Linked DNA regions of Arabidopsis thaliana. The protein of the gene in region 2 purifies or fractionates together with the protein of the main gene of each other region. This does not show direct contact. Each region holds a gene or a part of one and is shown on either strand. Other genes may lie near its edges.

Region 1 (4,140 bases), 4.8 Mb from region 2:
ACAGGATGAGAAAGTAAATATTTTGAAGGATTTTCTAATATCTTCCACTGCTATAGATTGTAGTGTAATGATAAGTTTTAGACCAATAGAGACTGGGCTCTCAAGATCCTCTTCCCACGGTAACATTCAACTTGAATCAACAAAGCAAGAATTTGAGTATAAGGTACATGTTTTTTTTCACAAGAATCTTTGCCTTTGTTAAATTGTTTTTTCTCATAATTAAACTGAGGTCTACATCGTCGGCAGATACACTTCATTGATCTTGATATGAGACCTTTAAAGAGAATGGAAGCCTATCACGAATCAGACAAGAAGATCACAAAAACATACCAGGAGATGCTCAAGAAGAAGAAAGGAGATCAACCTCGGCGCTTCTAGAACTACAAAGCTATAAGAATCAGATTTCATATCTCATAAGAGTATTTTATGTTTCGTAACAATTTCCTACTGTTTTCACTTGTATCAATTCATAAGACTCAATCTAAGCATTAAAGCATCATGTTAACAAATCCAAGGAAAGGGGAATACATGTATGTACTATGTTTGTTTTTAAAATGGTTATTATAAAATAAGTTGAGAAAAAATATCATTCTACTGAATTTGTTTGACTTTATTAATTCGTTCTTCTGTTTTTACTGCTGATGAAATGTCGATATCAACACTTATTATACTAGATCATTCATAATTGATATTGTTCCTTGAACAATTTATACATGTTAGACTGATTAATTGCAAGAACTTAGAAATAGACATGCATTATTGCAAAATGTCATTTCATGGAAGCAAATATCTAACAAAAGCCAAACATAACTAAATTATGATTATCCTTGTAACTGAAACTCCAATATCAAAAACTGATAAAAGACAACCAAGAAACAAGACCGGAAAGATAAATATTTGCGATAACCAAAACCTATAAACCAAACTCATCTCATGAAGGTCTTAAGCTTGGTCTTCACCCTCAGTGATAACCTTGGTTGCAGAAACAGCCTTAGTCGACAGGAAATCAGTGTGCTCTTGGTACGGCGATCTGGAGAATCTAGTCTCTTTCCAGAACTCTGGTGTAAGGAACCCATATGTCTTCTGTAAGCAATCGAATGTAGCCTGTATCATAACACCAACAACATCAACACTATGGTTAAGATAATCAAGCAACATCATGCCAAGAGTTCAAAAAAGAAATCAAGAATATCAATCTATCACAAATTATGAAGCATCTACATCCATCAAATTAAGTACTTGAGATGAAAATCATCAACAAAATCTATGATCATCTACAAATTGCAATCAGCTACATTTAGACGCTTCATTTATCACCAACTACTAAGCAAATGTGAACTAAATCCCTATTAAGGGATAATCAAATCATTAAAAGCAGAGCTAAATCAAAGAACTCTACAGCTAAACATTATCAAATGCTTCAAAAAAGAAGGATCAAAATCAAACCTTGACAAAGTTTCCAAGGGTTTTGGTAGATCCTCTTGAAGAAGTAAAGACATCATCAATACCAGCGAACTGAAGAACCTTCTTAGGAACCCTAGCAGCAACAATACCAGAACCTCTCGGAGCAGGAACCATTCTCACAGTAACAGAACCACATTTACCAGTAACCTTACAAGGCACAGTGTGTGGCTTCCCAATCTTATTCCCCCAATAACCTCTCCTCACCGGAACCACTGATAGCTTAGCAAGAATAATAGCTCCTCTAATGGCAGTAGCAACTTCCTTAGAACACTTGACACCCAAACCAACATGACCATTTCCATCACCAACAACAACAAAGGCCTTGAATCTAGTCCTTTGACCAGCTCTGGTTTGTTTCTGAACAGGCATGATCTTCATAACCTCGTCTTTCAACGTAGGACCAACAAGATGATCTATGATTTGGTACTCCTTTACTGGGAGAGAATGAAGATAGATCTGCTCTAGCTTCGTTATTTTATTGTCAGCCACTAGACGACCTAGTTTGGTCACTGGAACCCATTTCGTTTCTTCCGAGGCACGGCCTCCACGTCTTCCACGGCCTCTTGGACCACGATCACGGCCACGGCCACCTCCACGTCCACCGCCGAATCCACGCCCGAAGTCACCACGGTCACCGCCACGCTCTGCGCCGCTTTCTCCTCCTCTTTCCGCCATTTTCGATGAAGTAAACCCTAGCGGATTCACAAGTTTTAGTTTATATAGGTGAGCATAAGATTAGGGTTTTCGAAAGTCTGAATTATGGGCTTGTGGGCCGAATGTTGATATAATTGTTTTGTTGAGATACAAACCAAGAAGCCCGGCCCAATAACATAACTTATTCAATAACACCCAATATAGTACGTGATATGCAAATTGAGTGGAATTGCTTTGCTTATCTTGTGATCTTAAGAACTATGTGCGTATTGTTTTACTATTTAGAGACTTTATGCAAATTGAGTGCAATTGGTTTGCTTGTCTTGTGAAACAAATTCTCAAGACATTTGTTAGACATTTATGCAAACCATTGTGAACTCAAAGATCGTAAACAAATGTAATTCGTTTGTTGTCAGTAATAAATAGGTCATACATTTTAAAGCTGAATCTCATTGTATCATCTCTCAAATGGCTAGAATTTTCTTCGGCTTTTTAGTGTCGCATCATTCTCTTATTTAGGCCACTTTCCAATTGGTTATGAGGGCGAATACAACCAATTTTAACATCTAACGTGTTTGTGTTTAAAAGAGTAGTGAGAATTTTTTGATTAGTGAGTCTCAAAGTTAATAATTTGATGAGTAAAGATATAGTATAGTACATTAAAAAATTGAGTAATGAATGTATACATAAGAGAATGAGAATAAAAAGAACAAAAAAACAATATTCAGATGTTCAACATCAATAGACTTTGCTCAAATATTTGTCGAGTAAATTGTCGACGATAACTTGATAAGCTCTTTCAGATGGATGATAGCTATCCCAAAATATGTATGCTGAAGAATTAGAACACGTAAATGGGTTCAATGAGTTACACAAATAGGATATCGCAAGCAATCCTTTACCGCAACATCCTCTATCAGCTACCTCAAAACCTGAAACAAAACGAGATCATTTGAATAAAATATAGTTTAAAATATATAATAAAATTAAAATATAAATAATTTCTATGTAGATAAATATGTTAGATGAACTTACCGTATTTTTTAGGGTGTTGGATCATGTCGAAAAGAGTATCATAAACATTAATGTAAAGGATAACACCATCTAGCTCTTTATCTAAAGAATCTAAAGCTGGAGAAAGTCTTGCGTTAAATTGTTTTGCCATGTTGTTTAGAGGTTGATTACATCCTCTTGTAAAAAAACCTCCAAAAACTGTTCTTTGGAGTGGAACACAACCGACGGGGACTGCACTAAACACTCCTATTTTCCGAGCTCCAAGCTTATGTAATTCCTAATTATCAATTATCGATAAGATAAAGTATTTAGTGGATAAAACAATATATTATTGATTAGTTTCTGTATTATTCTATATATTTACAATAAAGTACTTACTCTCACGAAATGGACAGCAGAGTCAGCCAAGAAATTGGCATAAGAGGTACGATCATATCGATGAGTTTGAGCTAAATAAGTGTGAGCAAGGTCATTGCTACTAGACACCACAAGAAAGAAACTATGTTCCAAGATATCTTTGGCTTTTTCTTCTCCGAAATGCCTCTTGATCTTTGATATATATTCTTTGAAATTTATGAGTTGATCCCACACCGATATTACTGACTATAAAAATAAACATAAATGTAAGAAAAAAGAATTACCCATAAAAAAACTAAGGATCGTGATAGAAAAAAATAAGATATATTGTACCATAATTTTTGCTGTCAATGGATCATAACCAGTTCCTCCAGATGCAAATGTTACACCTTTAAGAAGATCCTCTGGCTTCAAATACGGATTCATATATGCTGGTAATGTCTTAGCCAATCCCAACTTTTCCGCTGAAATATTTTTAAACATATTTATCAGAATATAGATAAATATATATGATTCATAATTTAGAAAAATGTAATAACAATTCAATTGGTTACCAATAAGATCAGAAGGAACTCTTCCATCAGAAAATCTTCCAGTAGCGAAGCCTCCAGGATAATCTTTTCCATATGGAGGAAAGTTACACTTTAGAAG
Region 2 (5,067 bases):
AATCCAATGATCATTTCAGAGAGCCTCACCGTTGAGGATGCTTTTACGTTTGTCAATAGATTAAGACAAAAATTAACGTTCATTATGGTTCATTTTTCAAAAGAGTAAAATTGTCTACCATCAGCATGTAGAACCATCTATTGTTAATCTTTGTGGTACATATAGAACTGACAGTTATAAAGTCGTCGACAAAATCGTTCACCATAAAAAGCTATAGAAATGATTACTTAGTCGTAAAAGTTATATTGATCATTCGTAATAGGATATGATTAGCTCACAGAAGTTGTAGAATGAGTTTATAGTTGTGCAGTAAATATTTTTTGCAAGGAAGGCTAGCAAATACTTTGTGAAGATCTGAATCGCATTTCACACATTTGTAGCACTCATCGTTATTGATAGGAATACAGTATAAATTTTATAAATTAATAAACAAGAAAAATTAATAAATTTTGCTAGTTCCAGATCGGACAAATATAAAAATTAACTAAAATCGATAAAATAATAAGATAATAATTTTTTTAAAAAATCTTATATAAAAATATGGTCCCACTAATATTATAAATTAATAATTGATTTTTGTAACATTTTTTATATGAAAAATCATTGCTAAGATTTGTGATTACGACACTTGAGTTTTCTGACATTTTAGATATACAGGATGCATGTTTGATCAGAAAATAAAATAAAAAAATATAGGACAAACAGAAAATAGTTGTCATTACTAAAACAAGAATTTTTGTGTTTACTAGAACCTCAAAACAAAACATTGAGAAACTGAAACAGAATCATCAGCTTGTTTTTTCAAAGTGAATAACAGAGTTTTTCACTGCCCTTTAGGCCCTCTCTTCTTCTCTGAGCTTATTCTTTTCTTACTCTTTCCCAAAATCCGCGTTATAGTGAGAGCTCGACTCAAGCTTCTTGGCCTCGCTCAGCTTTCTCACAGCCTGTACAACAGACAATTTGATAAGCAGAAAAGTTTGGGTACAAAAAAATATGTAAACATGCGGAGTATTTATTTTTGTTTCTACCTTCATGAAGTCTTCATGTATTACATAGTCACGCTCTGCTCTGATTGCGAACATTCCAGCTTCAGTGCATATGTTACGCAGATCGGCACCATTGAAACCCTAAGGATGTTGATTGAATGGAACAATCAGTGGGATCTATAATATATAACAAAGGCAAAAACTACAACGCAGTGACATTTAAGAAAAACAAACAAACCTCTCCAAGTTTCACGATAGCCTCATAGTCTATTTCTCCATGCTTGGCAATGCCAGATGCGTGGATCTTGAGGATTTCCATTCTTGATTGTTCATTTGGCAACGGGATCTCGATCTTTCTATCTAACCTACCCGGACGGAGAAGTGCTGGATCAAGAACATCCGGCCTGTTGGTGGCCATTATCATTTTCACCTAATAGTATTATCTCCCAAGTATCAGAAGATATTCCATTGTACAAATAATTTTGGGAAACAGATAAATTTAACAATGAAAGTAACCACTTGAAACATGAGTTATAAAACAAAACTACCTTGAACTAAGTTATCCCCAACAAGCAAGTTTCACACCGTAACCACTCAGTTTTATGCACGAGTACTATTCTAAAACTATAGGTCATACCTTTCCAAGTTGGTCAAACCCATCAAGCTGGTTAAGTAACTCCATAAGTGTTCTTTGAATTTCACGATCAGCACTAGTTCCTTCACTAAAACGGCGTCCACCAATAGCATCGATTTCATCCATGAAAATGATACAAGGCTAGCCCCCAAGAAGGAGTGTTAAGAGACAATTCATGAACTTCAATATAAAGCATATCAAGGTATAAGACAAGAGGAAAGAGATGGTATTCTACCTGATGTTCACGAGCATAGTTAAACATTTCTCGAATCAACCTAGCACTTTCTCCAATGTATTTGTCTATGATTGCACTAGATACAACCTAAACATAAAGGTAAAAAAAGAGCTTATTTAGCACAGACAAGGTATAATAAAAAGAACACCAAACCAAACCTTCAACAACAAAATCAAACCTTCAAGAAGTTGGCGTCGATATTGCTGGCAATAGCCCTAGCTAGTAGAGTTTTTCCAGTACCCGGAGGTCCATACAGAAGGACACCCTGGAATGAGAGAAATGAAAATTAGCATTATGGAAATTGAAGTGCGTTTCAACTCTTTTTAGCCATTCATGCAGGTAACCACGGCACAGGGAAACATAAAAAGTGAATCATGAGATAGTTTGTGAAAACAAAAGAAAGGACTGGAGAGAGATCAAGTACCTTAGGAGGTTTAATCCCAACTCTAAGGAAAAGTTCAGGATTCATGAGAGGCAGCTCAATAGATTCCCTAAGTTCTCTGATCTGATCACCTAAACCACCCACAGCTGAGTAACTAATGTTGCCTGGATCTTCATGCAACATGTTATAAACAACAGGATCAACCTACCAACACATACCATCGAATTAAAACCAGTACAAATACACTAAGCAGCTACAAAAAAAAAAAGCAAAAATACTGAAATCAAGCATACTTCACGAGGAAGGGCTCGCATAATTGTCAGCGTAGTCATATCCAGGACAACTCGAGTTCCAGAAGTAAGCTTTTCCTTGTCCACCTTGCTACGACAACCCACCACATAACGAGGGCCACTACTTGCCTTAACAATCACTAAAAAGAAGAAGAAAAAATTCCACCTTTAGATGATAGAAAACACAAAGTGTAGTATTCAATCAAAAACATAAGGTAGCAAGATAGAAAATTACATCGCTCGTTATCAAGAGGACGTAGTACTTCTCCAATAATCTGGCCAACGCTTTGAAGAGACTTCAAATCATCCTCAGTTTTGTTGAATTCCTTCTTAGCTGCTCTTAAATTCTCCCTAGCTGCATATAACCACAAGACCCAGTTTATAAGAACTATAACAAGTGAAATTAAGCTTGAGATCGACTTCAAAATTGACTAATCAAGTGAAACAAACGGTGGAACCAATTCAATTCGAAACTCCAAAACCCCTAAAATCGCGTCACTAATTGAAGTAAAGTCTCGAGATTTCTAATGGGAACGAAGAGTAGGAAAAAACCCTAGATTCGATTTTGACCCACAAACTAAACCCAGAAAACGAAAGAGGAGAATGAGGAAGATTTTGAAATCGAACCTGTTCGGACACGGGATTCGAGCTCCTTGTGATGAAGGAGCTTCTTCCGGTAATCAGTCACCGCCGCGGTACGGCGTCTAGCAGCGTCGTCTCCGTCGCTCATCTTTTACAGATCTCAGAATTTGACACTGAAGCAATTTATCAACTTTTTTTCTGTTTTAAAGTAATTTTGTTTTCTTGAGGAATGGGTTAAGTTAGCTATGAATTAAGGGCTTTTGGGGCTATTTGGGTCCGGCTGGGTGGATCCGTTATCATTCACTTCATCAGCTTCTGTTCAATTCCAAAAATTAAAATAAAGAATAAAAAATTAATTAAAGAAACCTATCTTCTTAAGATTAAAAAATACGTCCAGAAATATTTTAATTTGTAGAAACAAGAAATAAAAACTTTATTGCAATTTGTTCTGCCTAAATTCTGATTTTTTGAAAATTTTAATTATTTTTAATTTTTAATTTTTAGTTTTTTGAAAAAGATTTGGTGGTACAATCAGCTTGAAGCATTGGAGACTTATACACTCACATTAGCCTTATCCATTATATATATGATTTATCATATGTATTATTCAATTCTGATATATAATAGTATTGTTTTTTTTCTCCGGCACATTCTCAAATACATAACTGCTCTTTTAAAAAAAAAAAAAAGTCGAGACTATTTTCTTCTAGAGCGTCTACATAAGATTTTAAACAACCAATGGCGGTTTGCCATCTCAATGGAAGGTTGTAGAGCCTACAAAATTGAATCATGCGATATGTAGGGGCGTGATTCTGATGAGATCGTTGGTTGCATTGGTCAGGTTGAACATAAAGGCTGTCTATATATATATATATATATATATATTTATTTATTGTTAAGAGTTTATAAATTTTATGTGGCACAATTGGTTAGGTAAGGTTTTATATCTTCTAGAGGTCCTGAGTTCAAAACACTCTTGAAACATTCCTTTTTATTTTAAAATATCCAAAACGACGTAGTTTATATTGCGGCTCACTTTTCAAGTTGGTAGTATTGACCTGCATTTTTTTTTAATTGAAGGGTTAAAAAAAAATTGTATTGTAGGATTTTTTGCACAAAAACCATATTTTTCTACATATTGCATAGTTTAAAATTTTAAAATTAGATGTAAATTTGTGAAATGGTGAATAGTATGTGTAAGTAAAAATATGTTGTACTATTTAGGATGTATAGGAATAGAACAAGAATATATTGTACTATTTTTCATAACTCATTCATAAATCAATTTTAATTTAATATACTAAATGCTAAACCAAAAAAACTTATACCCAAACCATAATTATATGTGTAAAACTTGTATAAACTCAAAAATTGAAAATGATGTATATTTTCAAATGAAAAACGGTATATAGAATAGAATAAATAGTATAGGACAAAGTGTTCTAGATAAAAAAAAAAGAAAAAGTTATTAACTATTCAAAAATTGGTGATAGTGGTGGTGACGGACTGACGATGGTGGTGGTAGTGGTAACGACGTGCTGGTTGTTTTGATAGTGGTGATGGTGATTGCGGTGGTGATGGTTACGGTGGTCGGGGTAGTAGCAATATGGTAATAATGATCGTGATTAAGGTGGTTGCGGTGGTGTAGCAGTTTCGGTGGTGATGATGGTGATGGTTGTAGTAGTGACAGCGCTATGGTTGTTGGTATGGTGGCGACAGTTGCAGTGGTAGTGCTGGTGACGACATGGCGATGGTGGTTGCGAATTGCGATGATGGTGATGGTTGCAGCGCATGGTGGTGATGGTAATTATAGTGTACTAGAGTAATGACTAAAAAACAAGAAAAAATAAGGGTATTTTAGTTTATATTGTAGTTTATACACAGAATATCATACCTCTTTTGTTTCTTAATTATAATTTATTTGTTGGTTAGTTTTACAAATTTCACTTAATGTTTTT
Region 3 (4,388 bases), on a different chromosome or scaffold from region 2:
TGACAATGATTATCGTTCAAACCCTGTTGTAATGTAGGATAATCTTACAACGAGACACCTGAACCCGTAAAAGATCTTGTGTTTTCCAATTGCCTTAAACGATTTGACGTAGTTTCGTATGTTTAATTCACAATGTCTTTTGACACCGAAAACATGACTGTTCGTTGTTAATTCAATTTTATATGATCCACTAGCTCTTAGATGCAATGATAAACTCTTGATCATTTTTTTTTCCTTTGATGGTTAATTTGGTGTATATACGAGAACGGATGCTGGATAAAGCAAATGATTAAGAGAGACGGCAAAGTCAATGGGTCTGGTTTACATGGTTCCCATTATCCAAAGTCTTTCGTAGTCGTCACCATGTAGGGGGCCACTTATGTTTTCTATTAGACTAAATGACGTCGAGCTAATGATTTTATCATAATTTACGATTTAACATTAAATTCTGGAGTTCTTTGGGTTAACAAATTTTAGATTAACCTTCGAAGGAAACTTGAGGCTGGTCAATTTTTTTGTTAAAACCCTCTGCAGGGCAGGCCTAACAAGGCTGGCTTGGCCTGCTTGACAGCCCTAGTTAGATGACACTACACACTTTTTTAGCAAGGAATTGCAGAACCAAAGAGATAGGAAGTCGTGAACAGATTTCAGATTTAAACCAAAAGACCAGAATACGAGAAAGTCTTGATGGCAGCTATTGAGTTTAAATGACGAAATGGTTTCAACTTCTCAAGCATATAATCTAAACCCGCAGCCATTTTGCAAAGTAAAAATCCAACTAACATCGAAATAAAATAGTTCCAGCGTTACACACACAAGCCTTACATTTCCATTGGAGCCACGTCTTGGTCACCTGCAACACCACCACCTCGTTCTGCTGGTGCAGCCTCGGCAGCTTCGGCCTCACCCTCACCAGCCTCGCCTTCTCCTTCCTCTTCCTCTGGCACTTTCTCAAATGTGTCGATCACTTTCTGTATTGCTTCCTGGTCCAGGAAGTGGAACGGTTCATCGACTCCTAGAATAGCGACTGTGCAGAGAGAACTCTTCAGTGTTTCCCCTTGCAATGTCTCCCTAACAGCCAAAATAGCATCTTTGATCAGATCTTCTCTAGAAGAATCCCCAAAGCTCTCAAACCTGCGTTCCAGATAGGTCTTTGCTGCTTGGGAACGGGATCCAATAGCAAAAGCTTGGTACTCGAAGTAGTTTCCGCTGGGACAGTTGTAGTAAAGGTGGGCTCCAGACTCATCCAATCCACCTACCAGCAAACCAACACCATAGGGTCGTTTCCATGATCGTTGGGTACAGACCTGTTCATAAAGGCAAACATACACATAAATATTTCCTTTTCCAGATCAAGAAATATAACAAAAAAAACCCTTGGTAAAGACAAGAAATATGACAATAATGTAACTTAAGTTGGACCTGTCAAGTAAAATCTCTCCTACAAAAGAGTAAACCAACTAATAAAGTTTGACAATGAGGAAATACAAGACCCTTCCTTTTATAAACACATATAATATATGGGAGCTCTTCCCAATGGCTTTGAAAAGTATTTATGCAGATGTGGATAAAACAGCTAACTTAAGAAACCATTAGATAGGTGGAAAAACAAAGTGAGAAGTAGCACATAATTACAGAAAAGATGTCGAACAAGCACCTAGCAGGAGTAATTGACTGGTAAGATAAGTGCATAGTGGTGAGAACGATGCAAAACAAAGAGCGGAATTCACTTCTTAGAGGTACTGAAAATCAATAACTCCAAATAAAAACTGCAGAAACAAGCAAAAGCACCAGAAGAAACACAAATCTCTTTCTTTTAGAATCCTATTGTTAAGCTCTTAGTTATGGTTAAACTTTTAAATACAAGATTATGCAGCAGTAACAACAAACATGCAAACAATTTCACTAAACAAGATTCAAGTTTCTGCTATGATAAATTAAGAAAACTCTTATTTAATGCAATTTAGAATCCTAATCAGCTCAGATCAAACCCTAAGCACAAAGTCAAGAAGCTAATGGCTAAATTTGAGCTCAGTGATTCACAGTGTAATCGAATTCCAAATTCCTCAAATTTCAATTAACAATTACAACACACTTATCACCGAATCACACAAAACCAAGCGTAATCGATTCCAAATTCCACCAAATCTCAATCAACAAACTACAAAAGCCTAACCTGAGCTTTATCAGCAAGATGAACAACGAGACGACCAACAGGAAGAGGAGACTCATAAGTAAAAGAGTGATTAATCGATTCCGATCTCATATACCGAGACAATACACGACCGTCGGCTGTGAGACCAGCGATTGCAACACCGATATGGTCATCGACTTTAAAGATCTTCCTCTGATGCGAAGAAAGCTCCGATTGAGCTTTGTTAACACAAGCGAGAACGACATGAGAACGAGATCTGAGTCCAATTGCTGCAGATCCTTGCTTCACTGCTTCCATGGCGTATTCCACTTGGAATAAACGACCTGTTGGACTCCATGTCGTAACATCTGTGTCGTATTGGTTTCTGAACATCTTTGCTTCTTCGTCTCGCTTTCTTCTTCACTCGTCGTCGAAAGGGTTTATAGAGACGAAAGTTCAGAAACAAAACTTTTCTTTTCCTTCAAGCCATGGATGCTCTCGATCTCTCTCTCGATTTAATGGGCTTCTATTAAATTCTGGGCTTTGTATTGGCTCGGTATCTAGCTTATTGGGCTAAGACTTTAGGCATATGTTTTATACAGACTTTAGGCCTATGTTTTTATACAGGATAATCCTTGTATATTCTTTTTTTTTTTTTTGATGAAATGTGAAATTGTTTAAGAATCTTTAAATATGTACAAAAGAGTTTGGTCAATAGTTCTCAGTAAAAAAAAAAACATTAGACAAAACAGAGCACACTAGCTTGAATATTCTTGTATATTATTTGAAACTAAATAAAAATGAATTAATTTTATAAATATAAAACTTTGCGATTTTGTTATTAGTAATCATATAATTTGAATTGTTACAAAAAAAAAGTCTCTGTGATTGATCCTATTTAAAATTTTAGAACATTTATCATTTTTAAAATTGATATCTTAAAATTAATTTATTGTATATTTCTAAACTTTTATGACAGCTGAAAAGTCATACATTTTTAGTTTTGACGAATATAGTGATGAAGTAGATCATAACATGTGCTTGTACAACACTAATAGAATTTTGATTTTTAAATATTTATTTAAATTTGAATTATTATTTGTTTTATAATATAGTTTTAATCATTTTATACATAATATAGAAGTGGATTGGTAACGATTGTTATTTTCGACTATTATTATCAACTGTATGATAATTAATCGTTGAGTCTTTAAGAATATCGCGAAAGTTCATATTGTCTCATACAAGAAGATTAACAAAAGCATATTCAGTTTAGCTCAAGTTCCTTAAACTGGAATCACAGATGACTAGGGGATTGAATTTTGTAGCATCGATAAAAACTTAACTACTCAGATTTTTGTTGTAGCCACAAAATCAATCACCCAATGAGATCAAGTTCCTTTACCTCCACAAACAAAGCTCTACAACTAAGCTTTTGTATTGTTATAACGTAGTTTCTAGTCTATGTATGTTAGATCAAGTAAATAAATTCAGCACTTTTGTGGTTTTATCTCCCTAAGATCAGTTACTAGTTCATGACGCTAACTAGCTACATGCAATAAGAACAAACCTAGAACGAAAAACTTCTAAAAACAAGCTATTTTAAAATCGTCACTTACCTTATTCAATTATGAAATCTCCTTTGATGAAACTTTTAAACCCAACTAACAAACTAGTAATAATAATAAAAAATTAATTTAACTATTAAATCTAATTTGCCACTAAAAGAAAATTATGTATCGGTTTGAGTTTATTAGAAAAAATGAGAGTTTAGATTTTATGATTAAACGAGGTTAAATATCGGTTTGGGTTTACAAAATACGATTAGGGTTTAGATTTTATGATTATACGATGTTAAATATTAGTTTGGGCTTATAAACATATTTAGATTTTACAATTAAACTAGGTTAAATGTCGGTTTGGGTTTAGAAAATACGATTATGGTTTGTTTTTTAACGATTAAATAAGTCTAAATGGCGGTTTGGGTTTATAAAGGAGAATTAGGGCTTAGATTTGGTAATTAAACGAGATTATATATCGGTTTGGATTTACAAAAAAGTGGGGTTTTAATGATTTATTTTAATTATTTTATTTTGATAATATTAATTGTTTTAAGTTTTTTTAATCAAATAACATGGCAAATATTGATTTGTTATTAAAGAGGGGGTGAATAAATTAGGTTCACCCCCTAGAAGTGAACCCAAGAATTATTCTTTATTTGATATTTGATGATTTGTTTTCAAAATTTTAATTT

Evidence for each region.
Region 1: the proteins of AT1G45000 (region 2) and AT1G59359 fractionate together in Arabidopsis thaliana (co-fractionation; one large-scale study listed by BioGRID). This does not show direct contact.
Region 3: the proteins of AT1G45000 (region 2) and PAF1 fractionate together in Arabidopsis thaliana (co-fractionation; one large-scale study listed by BioGRID). This does not show direct contact.

The regions. Positions count from the first base shown.
Region 1 is NC_003070.9:21,841,595-21,845,734, forward strand, and holds AT1G59359 (Ribosomal protein S5 family protein), read right to left. Parts: upstream 2,226-4,140; 5' UTR 2,140-2,225; coding exon 1,447-2,139; intron 1,105-1,446; coding exon 943-1,104; 3' UTR 596-942; downstream 1-595. Other genes in the region: AT1G59312 (Inositol-pentakisphosphate 2-kinase family protein), read left to right, coding at 1-163, 247-378; AT1G59406 (GDSL-like Lipase/Acylhydrolase superfamily protein), read right to left, coding at 2,857-3,050, 3,154-3,409, 3,511-3,735, 3,823-3,953, 4,044-4,140.
Region 2 is NC_003070.9:17,007,410-17,012,476, reverse strand, and holds AT1G45000 (AAA-type ATPase family protein), read right to left. Parts: upstream 3,427-5,067; 5' UTR 3,258-3,426; coding exon 3,155-3,257; intron 2,883-3,154; coding exon 2,763-2,882; intron 2,668-2,762; coding exon 2,531-2,667; intron 2,442-2,530; coding exon 2,280-2,441; intron 2,121-2,279; coding exon 2,034-2,120; intron 1,943-2,033; coding exon 1,856-1,942; intron 1,762-1,855; coding exon 1,624-1,761; intron 1,417-1,623; coding exon 1,225-1,416; intron 1,128-1,224; coding exon 1,029-1,127; intron 945-1,028; coding exon 870-944; 3' UTR 548-869; downstream 1-547. Other genes in the region: AT1G44990 (uncharacterized protein), read left to right, coding at 4,669-4,718, 4,761-4,935. UniProt on the Arabidopsis thaliana protein: The 26S proteasome is involved in the ATP-dependent degradation of ubiquitinated proteins. The regulatory (or ATPase) complex confers ATP dependency and substrate specificity to the 26S complex.
Region 3 is NC_003076.8:17,158,449-17,162,836, forward strand, and holds PAF1 (proteasome alpha subunit F1), read right to left. Parts: upstream 2,709-4,388; 5' UTR 2,528-2,708; coding exon 2,177-2,527; intron 1,308-2,176; coding exon 822-1,307; 3' UTR 596-821; downstream 1-595.